Arabidopsis thaliana: one gene and its partner. The protein of the gene in region 1 interacts with the protein of each later gene in a pairwise test. Each region holds a gene or a part of one and is shown on either strand. Other genes may lie near its edges.

Region 1 (3,378 bases):
CTCATGCAAGTTTTCTTGAATATAACAACATACGAATATGATCTTTGATTAGATTACTCTTTTATATATTATGGTTAGGCATGTCCTTGCAAGATTTTTGTATTTAACATATTGAAAATTTATCATTGAATTACAACTCTGTTATGCATACAATCAAATCAAACGTTTAAGAAGACCATCCCTTATATATATTTATATACACCCTATATTCTCGGGATGTAATAAAGTTTCCATTTCAAATAAAAAGAGCCCTTAAAGGGAGGTAAGTGGGGGGCATGAAAAAAGGGTTTATATATCTCAATAATCATCCAAACAAACCAATCCATGTGCTTCCCTTCAAACATTCTTCTTGTCATTTTCCTCCCAACCATTTTCTACTTTGGCCAACTTTTTTTCTTTTGCTTCTTAAAAATAAAAATAAAAATATGCAAATTTCCACTCACACATTATACATTCTCTTTTTACAATCCTTAGATTGTCACTTTTGCCTTCTTCCTCTTGTTCTCTTACCACTTTACTCCTGATTCTCTTCCTTTCGGAATTTCATCGAACTACTCAACAACCCTATATACTTTTATTGTTTTTAAAGTATTCTCATGCAGATTAAATAATAAGAAATAATATACACCTTTTTCCTCCTTATATAAATAGGCTCAACACACGTAACATGGCCCCAAACCCTAGCAAGACTCTCTCTAAGACTCATATCATTACGTCATGAGTTCAATAGCAAGAGACCGAAAGGAACAAATGGTGATCCATTCTTCAATCGTCTTGCTTCAAGAAAGATTCAGACAACTTCAGAGAGCAAGAGAGTTAAGAGCTGAACGAGAGCTCCTAAACCCTAAACCTAACCACCAAGACAACATCTTGCAATATTACAGCGAACCCACTAGTTTCGGTTTCTTTCAGTTTCTACCTATAAACTCTCAAACATCTTCGTCACAGCAGCTCCTATCCCTCTCCTTATGCTCACACTCCACCTCTGAATCCATTGAAAAGCCAAGCTTTTGTCATCAGTGGCCAAATAAAGATGACAAGAAGATGGGTGGGATTGATCGATACGACGATGTTGACACGTCTCTGCATCTCTAAAACTAAAATAATTGTTCCTCCATCTTTTTGAAGTTCTAATTAAATATGTATGTATATAGAGTTTGTTTTCGTCGGTATGCTCTTCTAAAGAGTCTTCTAGGTGGTGGTGATATATGTATGGTTAAAATGGCAATCATATATATTAATTATTTCGAAGTTAATGATTATGATATATTTTATATCACGATGATAAAGATCGATCTACTCATTGATTTATTGGTTATTCTTTTGTTGATGGTTAATTGGTTACTATATCATTCCTCAAGTCTTTGCTTATACGTATCCATGTAATGTTTAGCTTTTTATATATACGTAACTACTTCTACCTCAACTTCACCAACGAAGGCATGGTAAATAACTAAAGATGTCGGAGTGGTTAAGAAGACAGACTTGAAATTTGATTTCAGTTGGGCTCCGCTTGCGCATGTTGAAAACTCTGCTTTTGCAGCTTTGCTTCTTATTGTTTTTGACGATTTTTCTTAAAGATAGTAAATAATTGATCATACAAGTCGTGCCAAAAAATCGTCAATCAAAGTTCAAAACCTACTTGCATCGTATTTGATTCAGTACTCTTATATATGTGTCAGTAATAATTGAGATAGAGAAAGATAGAACTAAAATGTCGACACTCAATCATAGATAGATTTTTAAGAGAATAAAACTCGAGTACTATTCAATACTATATCGTGCATGTTGTTAGATCTGCTATTTTCGATCGTTTGGAGCTTGATTGACTTAAATGGGCTCATTCGGGTCTGTTATGAGAAAGCCCAACCAAGAAAGTTTATGGGTCAAAGAGAAAAGCCTCTAGACGAAAGAGAGGATCTCAGCTTCTGTTGAAATGAATATAACCTAGAAATTGATTTTGATCGGAAGAAGAAGAAAGAAGATAGAATCAGAGATTTGTAGATTTTATCGATCGAAGATGAATACTGACATCACTGCCTTGGAGAAGGCACAATACCCAGTGGTTGATCGGAATCCTGCTTTTACTAAAGTCGTCGGCAATTTCAGCACTCTCGATTACCTCCGTTTCTCTACTATCACCGGCATCTCCGTCACCGTCGGCTATCTCTCTGGTTCATCCACACACCTCTCTCTTGAAATTTCTGATTCTGTAGGTTGAGAATGTGCTGATTTGGTGTTTTTGGAAATGGCGATTTTGTAGGGATTAAGCCTGGGATTAAGGGACCGTCGATGGTTACTGGAGGATTGATCGGGCTCATGGGAGGTTTCATGTATGCGTACCAGAACTCTGCCGGTAGACTCATGGGGTTTTTCCCTAATGATGGTGAAGTTGCTAGTTACCAGAAGCGTGGTGGTTTCTCCAAATGAATGACTTTAGTGTTTTATTTTCTGGATCTGGCTTCATTTTGGAATTTGAAACCCTCTCTTTTTCTCTGTAATTTGATTGCATTTCTCTGCTGTTTGAGGATAATATGTGCCTCTGTTTGTCTGTTATGACTTGATGGTGATGATCAATAAGATTTGAGACAAGGAATTGTGGTGATAGATTTTTGTGATTGTGAGTGAGTGATGTTGCAATAAGGAATCTTTAGTGCTGCAATTAGACCAGTCTGATAGGTTTCTTTGTTGTATATGTATTGGTTTGTAGATAGATGAACCTAGGAGCAGCTGCATTCGAATCCCTCAGAGACACCTTGTCCTATAAAATGTTATTGGTGCTCCTTGTCTATCTAGCTTCTGGAATTTCCCTGCGACATTATTCTGTTGCAAAGCTATGTCGAGGTTATTGTGGTTTGGGCTGTAAATGATTGCTTCTAGGATTGCCATTTTATCCTAGAGGTGATTGGTGCACTCAAAGCAATCAGATTTTGTAGCTTCTCCTCTTGTGGTTCGTTGTTGTGCAGAGGATGCATGTATCAACAGGTAAAAGTTAGAGTCCATCTAATTTTGATTCGTTGAGAGGATAGATGGGCTTTGCCTTGGTGATGGAATATATGATCTTCCTAGTCCTCCTAATTCCGCCAATGTTTAGACGGGATGAGTTCATCGATAAAGTTGTCGTCATGGCTAGGACCTCTATGTCTAACACATTGATGCATCGCACATCTATTATAGTTTGATCTGCCTCTTAATTTCGTCTCAATTGCATTATTTTCATGCCTAGTTACTGCTTCCTCTCCTCACTTTCGACATAGTTGTTGTCTCGTGTGTTGCATATATAGAAATGGTAACATCGACGAAACTAAACTAGATAGGACCTTTAAATCTGGGCATTAAGTCAATAAAAGAAGCATGTCTCAATAGAGTTTTGACGAC
Region 2 (5,727 bases), on another chromosome or scaffold:
GGAGAAGAAGTCTTCGGATAAATTCAATCCTAACGACAGTGTGGAGATCCCAAGAGTAGGAGGAGAGGTAAACGACGAGGAAGCCCCTTTGATCACATCCCGGTTGTCTCATATTGGTCGGACGCAGCTCGGAAATCACGCTGCTTAAGATGCCGGTATAAACGTATAATAGACATTTTGCTTCCCAATTCGTTATTTTGTTACTTAGAAGAAAAAAATCTTTGAAACCAAACAAAGAAGTTGCAGCACCATCTAGACCCGTGTCCTCGTGTGTCAGGTGAAAAATTCCAAATTTGTTATGAGATAGAATAGCGGAGATTATTACCAATGATTAGCTGGAAAACTAAAAAGTCTCAAATTCGTTTGTAGTGAATTGACGTTAAATTTATATATTTGTGGTCTTAATTTTTTCCATCATCAGCCGACCCTGGATTCAATTATGTTCCGGCTTCTGAGCAGCATCTCTTATATTTGAACTCGATTGATTGGTACAAAATATTAATGTCTTCAAGGTAAATTCTGATTGGAAGAGTAGTAATTGATTCTCCAGTAATAGAAAGGTGAAACAAAACGAATTAAAGGAGAATACAGTCAGTAGTTTCATAAATACTTAACGTCAGAAATGTAGTAGTACTCTTCATCACGTTCTTCGTATTAGCAAGTTACAGAAAGTGATAACCATTTGGACTCTTCTAATGAAATTCCAGCTGTGTCATGAAACTTTCTACAGTAGGACGAAGAAAGGAATCTAATGAAAACGTGAGAGAGTATAACATTGGTCTGAATTTTATACAAAAGAAGTGATAAGTTGCTACAAAAAAGAAGAAGGAAAAAGAAATAGAGACAAAAGCTGAAAATATACACACCCTCCAATCAAACCCAGATTCAAACGAATGGGTTAAAACAAGTAAAAGAACATGAAGATAAACATCCCCAAGCCTCGTCAACTATCAAAGCACACAATGCCAACAAGCACAAACCCTCTCTCTAACATCCATGAAATGGATTGTTAACAAATTAGAAGGAAATATCGAACCTCAAGATGCAATTTCCTCATTCCTCGTGAATAAATATACAAATAGAGATTTATATTCTCACATGTAGTCTTGATTCCTCAAGTACAATAGCTTCCTCGATTGCGCTGGAGGAGCTAATCCTGGGATGTCCCTAATGTCTTTGTTATTCGGATTCACGATCTGAAGAATTAATACAAAAACCAGAGTTACAACTTGCTAATGAGCAATCACAACTTTCAACAGAGAGAGAAAAGACAGTACCTTCACTATGATTATGGCTACTACACCGCATACAATGAGAAACAGGAACCCCATTATGCATTTATCGGTAGCCACCTGAAATAAGTAGACATAAGCATTCAGGTTTTGAGGTCAAGCCAAAAAGGATAAATCTACATATGTCCATATGAGGTTACACACCTGTCTCCCTATCTCTTTCACCAGCTGGGAGGCCTTCTTGATTGAGAATTGAATAGTGTCCAAGTGGTTAACTACGCGTCCCATTTGATCCGTCTGCAAAATTTTCAGGTTGTTTAAGACTCTACTCATAAGATTAATATGGAAGTAAAGGAGAATAATTTGCATTACCTGTCCCTTTAAATTAGCTGCAGTTTGAGTTCCAACTTCGAGTGTTTGTTCTACAACCTGAAAGGAACAAGAATGTTACCATAGATATATTCATATAGTAACAAAGGCTAAGGGGAACATAATTCCTTCTGTAACTTACCTGTTTTGAGCGCTCAATGGCCTGATCAGTCTCATCCATTCTTTTCATTCCAGCATCAACAAGCTCCTGGTTTGACATAGCTATACATAATAAAATGACAAAAGCCTTCATCAGTTTTTACATTCCCAATATAATATACTTCGCGCCTAATCAAATTATCAGAATCATTCATTTCTATTATCTAGGCCACCGATAACATTTCTAGTGCCATATTACCATCTGCCAGAAATTTACTGACAGACATCACAAATTATGCCAGACGAATAACCAGAGAGCATTAGTTACCAATCCAACATATTCAAGTACATATAGCATTAAAAAGTCTAAACTTCAAGCATGTCAATCTCTAATTGTTCTAAGCAAACTCATATTTTGGTGGCAACTGAAGACAAGAATGCATAAGGACTCACATGAAGCCACTTGAACATTTTCCTCAGCTGTAGGTTCGCCACTAACTCCAGCTCCCATATCAAAAAGCTCAACTTTCTTGTTGCCAAGGGTACTCATATACCTGAGATTCAAGACCAATTTCACATGTATGAACACATAAAAGTCAAATGAAATCCTATATAGATATTCTGAACGGATCGATATGAAATCAAAACCCTAAAAGAACAGGTTGAGATTCAAATAATCAGCTTTCTTAAAGAGGAATGATAGAAATACTAACGTTTTTCTTAGAGCAACGTAAGAATTGAGCTCCTTGATCTGTAACATTATACAAAAGAAAAAGTTAAACACAGATGTTAAAAAGTTCATACAAACAAAATGTTAGCAGATACAAAGTACAGAGGGGAGTGATAGATACACAATGACACTCAATATCCACCTTAATATATCCATTCGGTTATAAACACACCTAAAGATTGACCAAACTGAATACGACTGATGCTGTATAATGGAACTTTACGAAGGTGCCAAGTAAGAGTTAATATTCACATATTTACTTCAGATACATATGACATTGTAGTATAATCAAAGAAAGGCCTCAATGAATTTAATAAACAAAGGATAAAAACTCACCATAGATTGTTTCTCATCGTTCAATTGCTTATTTACTTCAGGAGAATTTCTAGCTTCCTCATCCTTGAGTTCACGGTCGAACTCTTTGACCAATCTGACATGAAGTACACATTAGACAAGCAAATACAGATTATTGAATCATGGATTTGTCACATCAATACTCTTTCCTTCTCAATTCTCATTATACGGCATCGTATCCAGCTCAAAGAAAAAGAAGTACGCATAACAGTGATCAAAGAGCACATTCTACTAAAGGCAATTAGCAAACAATGTTGTAACGCCGAGAACATAATGGTAAAGCATAGCAATTATGAAATAAGTATACCTTTTACACTCTCTCATCTTGTCAGTAAGTTCTTCAAGTTGTTTGCTTTGTCTAGTTGAATCCTTAATCTTATCCAACCTCTGGAAACCATTCCTGCAAAACAGATAATGGTGAATCATTAAAAGAACAATCTTTTGAGTGATGACTAAATCTAATTCTTATCATCAGCATTAAGCAAAACACGCATAAATCCTATTGAGCACACATAATCAAAAAATTCCAAAACCCTAAAATATATATCACAGTGTTTCGTAACCACGACAGAGATAGTTAGAAAATTGAACAAGAGGATAACATGTAAAACATACGCGAGGGCTCGGAAATGGTCACGGATTTCGCCATGGATCTGCTCCAATTGAGGGCTCATGGGGAGATTAGAAGCCATGTCGCCGGAGACAATTCAGAATCCGACGAAAATTTACCCAAAAACTACGTCACTGCATCTAAAATTTCCCTCCAATTTAAATTAAAACCCTAATTAGACAAAAACTGAAGTTAAAATCTCCAAAAAGAGAAAACACAAAGGAGAATGAATGAAAGACGAAACAAAGGACGACAAAGAACGGGAAAAGGGAAAGAGAGCTGTCAGGTGTGTGTTGTTTTTTTCTTTTTTATTCAAACATATATATTTTTTAAAAACAAAATTGATTAATAAATAAATTAAAAAGACAGATATTCGGTAGTTAAAAAAATGACAGCGAGGCGCCAACTTTTTGGTCCCATCCATATCCGTTGTTAGATAAATTATTTCACTTTCACTAATTTCACCTAATAATACTTTGATTATATTCTTCTAGCCAACAAAATTTTCATATTTTTCGAATATTTTAAGGATACAATGCTAGAATTCAAAATACAGTGTTACTTCGTTAGAATTGTAGCACTAACTAATCATCGTCACTAAGATCATCATCGTAAGGATCAAGGTTGTCTTCACCTTCACCGTCAACGTTACCAGATTCCATGTAAAACTTCTCCTCCTCTTCCTCATCGTCTTCATGGTCTTCCTTCTCTGCTCTGTCTTCCCCGTGCAAAGCCTCCTCCTTCACCAATAAACTACATTTATTAGCCTTTTATAAAATCACTGGAATGGCGTTTAGCGTTTCTCACTTTAAGTAAGTTAAGTACCTCCTCCTTCTCGGATGTTACGAGCCAGTCAGGGAGCAACCGATCCAGCAAAGCGTGGTTAAGAGTTGGTGGTGGTTCATCCTCATAATGTAGCCGTTGCTTCAGCTGTTTTTCTCTGAGCCGTAAGTTGTAATGAACGTATGTTAGATCTTTCGTTGATTTTTTCCCAAATTGGCTCTGGCATTGACTGTTAACTTGGTCGTACACGCTCCACTTAGGCTCACACCCAACAGACGAGCAAGTGTGGCTCAGTATCCGAACCGCCACTCGCTGGAGTTCCAAACAGCTTATCCCATGCTGTTGCCACCACGCCGATGGATCAAGCTCTGTTCTTGTGCCAATGGCTATATCCGTTCCAAAATCAGCTTTCGCACAAGTATAATCCGGAATCTGAAAACATTTCAACAAAAAGTTGGTTTAACCTCAGGTTCTGAGAACAATGTGTGTGACTTGGTGATTTGTTTTTTGTCTCACCTGCATCAATGCTGTGATTCTACGCGTGTTATCAGGCTCAAGCCTAACAATGCATTCGTTAACTCCACGCACAACCTCAGACTGCTGCAGATTCATTCACATTTACAGCAAATGTAAGGAAAATGGCAGAAAGCTTTTAGTCATTGATTCAAATGAATGATAATCATACCTACCGCCATAAAATCAGGACGATATTTGTATGCCGGGTTGAAGAAATATGCAGCCACATAGAGAGGATGATGAAACAATGGGTTCCAACGGTATTCTATCACCCGCCAAAACGGTCCGTATTTCCTTGCATCATCGCTATGAATAGACTTGATCGCCATTTTCGCACAGCACATGTAACCGTAAGCATATGGCATAGATAGTCTATCGCCACCATCATTGATCATGTGAATCACCTGCATCACCGGATCAACCGATTTCAAAACATACTGAACCTTCTTCCAAAACACAGCACTCAACACCATCTTCTCCACTTCTCTTCCCTCTTCAGACTTGGCGGCGGTCTGTGACAAAATCCAGCCGTCAGATTGAAACAGACCTCTGAGACTGGCCTTGTGGTCCATAAGACTTTGAAGAGTGGTGAACCCGGAAGCGTGGCGCATGACTGCTGGTCTAAGAAGATCTAGTCCCTGTGTGAATTCGTTCTTCATAAGATTAAGCAGCCATGTTTGATTGTAAATGAATCTTGTGATTCTTTGGGCTTTCTCTAAGCACTCGGAGACAAATTCTAGCTTTGAGAAGTCTTCAAGAACCAGTTCTGTGCAATGTATTGCACAAGGAGTCCAATACAAATTCTTTCTCTTCTCTTCAAGTAATTTTCCAGCACTTCTAAAGATAGCAGTGTTCTGTGTAATAACCTGCACCACATTTTCCTCGCCAATGTCGTCAACTAGTTTGTCTAGACACTTGAAAAGGCTTAAAGCATCTTCTACTATATCAGTGGCATCAATCGAGGAGTGGAAGTAGACACCACGAGGGCACGAGACCAAGAAACTGATCATTTTCTTGCCCTCTGTGTTGGTCCA

The links.
Region 2: the proteins of AT4G16450 (region 1) and NPSN13 interact in a protein complementation assay, tested with the Arabidopsis thaliana proteins (one large-scale study listed by BioGRID).

What each region holds. Positions count from the first base shown.
Region 1 is NC_003075.7:9,278,112-9,281,489, forward strand, and holds AT4G16450 (NADH-ubiquinone oxidoreductase), read left to right. Parts: upstream 1-1,797; 5' UTR 1,798-2,020; coding exon 2,021-2,174; intron 2,175-2,263; coding exon 2,264-2,430; 3' UTR 2,431-2,745; downstream 2,746-3,378. Other genes in the region: AT4G16447 (uncharacterized protein), read left to right, coding at 718-1,095; AT4G16451 (uncharacterized protein), read right to left, coding at 2,746-2,889.
Region 2 is NC_003074.8:5,968,815-5,974,541, forward strand, and holds NPSN13 (Putative plant snare 13), read right to left. Parts: upstream 3,759-5,727; 5' UTR 3,477-3,758; coding exon 3,400-3,476; intron 3,185-3,399; coding exon 3,092-3,184; intron 2,861-3,091; coding exon 2,767-2,860; intron 2,452-2,766; coding exon 2,414-2,451; intron 2,255-2,413; coding exon 2,154-2,254; intron 1,824-2,153; coding exon 1,744-1,823; intron 1,662-1,743; coding exon 1,605-1,661; intron 1,530-1,604; coding exon 1,437-1,529; coding exon of another isoform or gene 1,433-1,436; intron 1,353-1,432; coding exon 1,278-1,352; intron 1,197-1,277; coding exon 1,095-1,196; 3' UTR 751-1,094; downstream 1-750. Other genes in the region: AT3G17430 (Nucleotide-sugar transporter family protein), read left to right, coding at 1-148; AT3G17450 (hAT dimerization domain-containing protein), read right to left, coding at 3,979-4,134, 4,220-4,609, 4,694-4,777, 4,867-5,727. UniProt on the Arabidopsis thaliana protein: Vesicle trafficking protein that functions in the secretory pathway.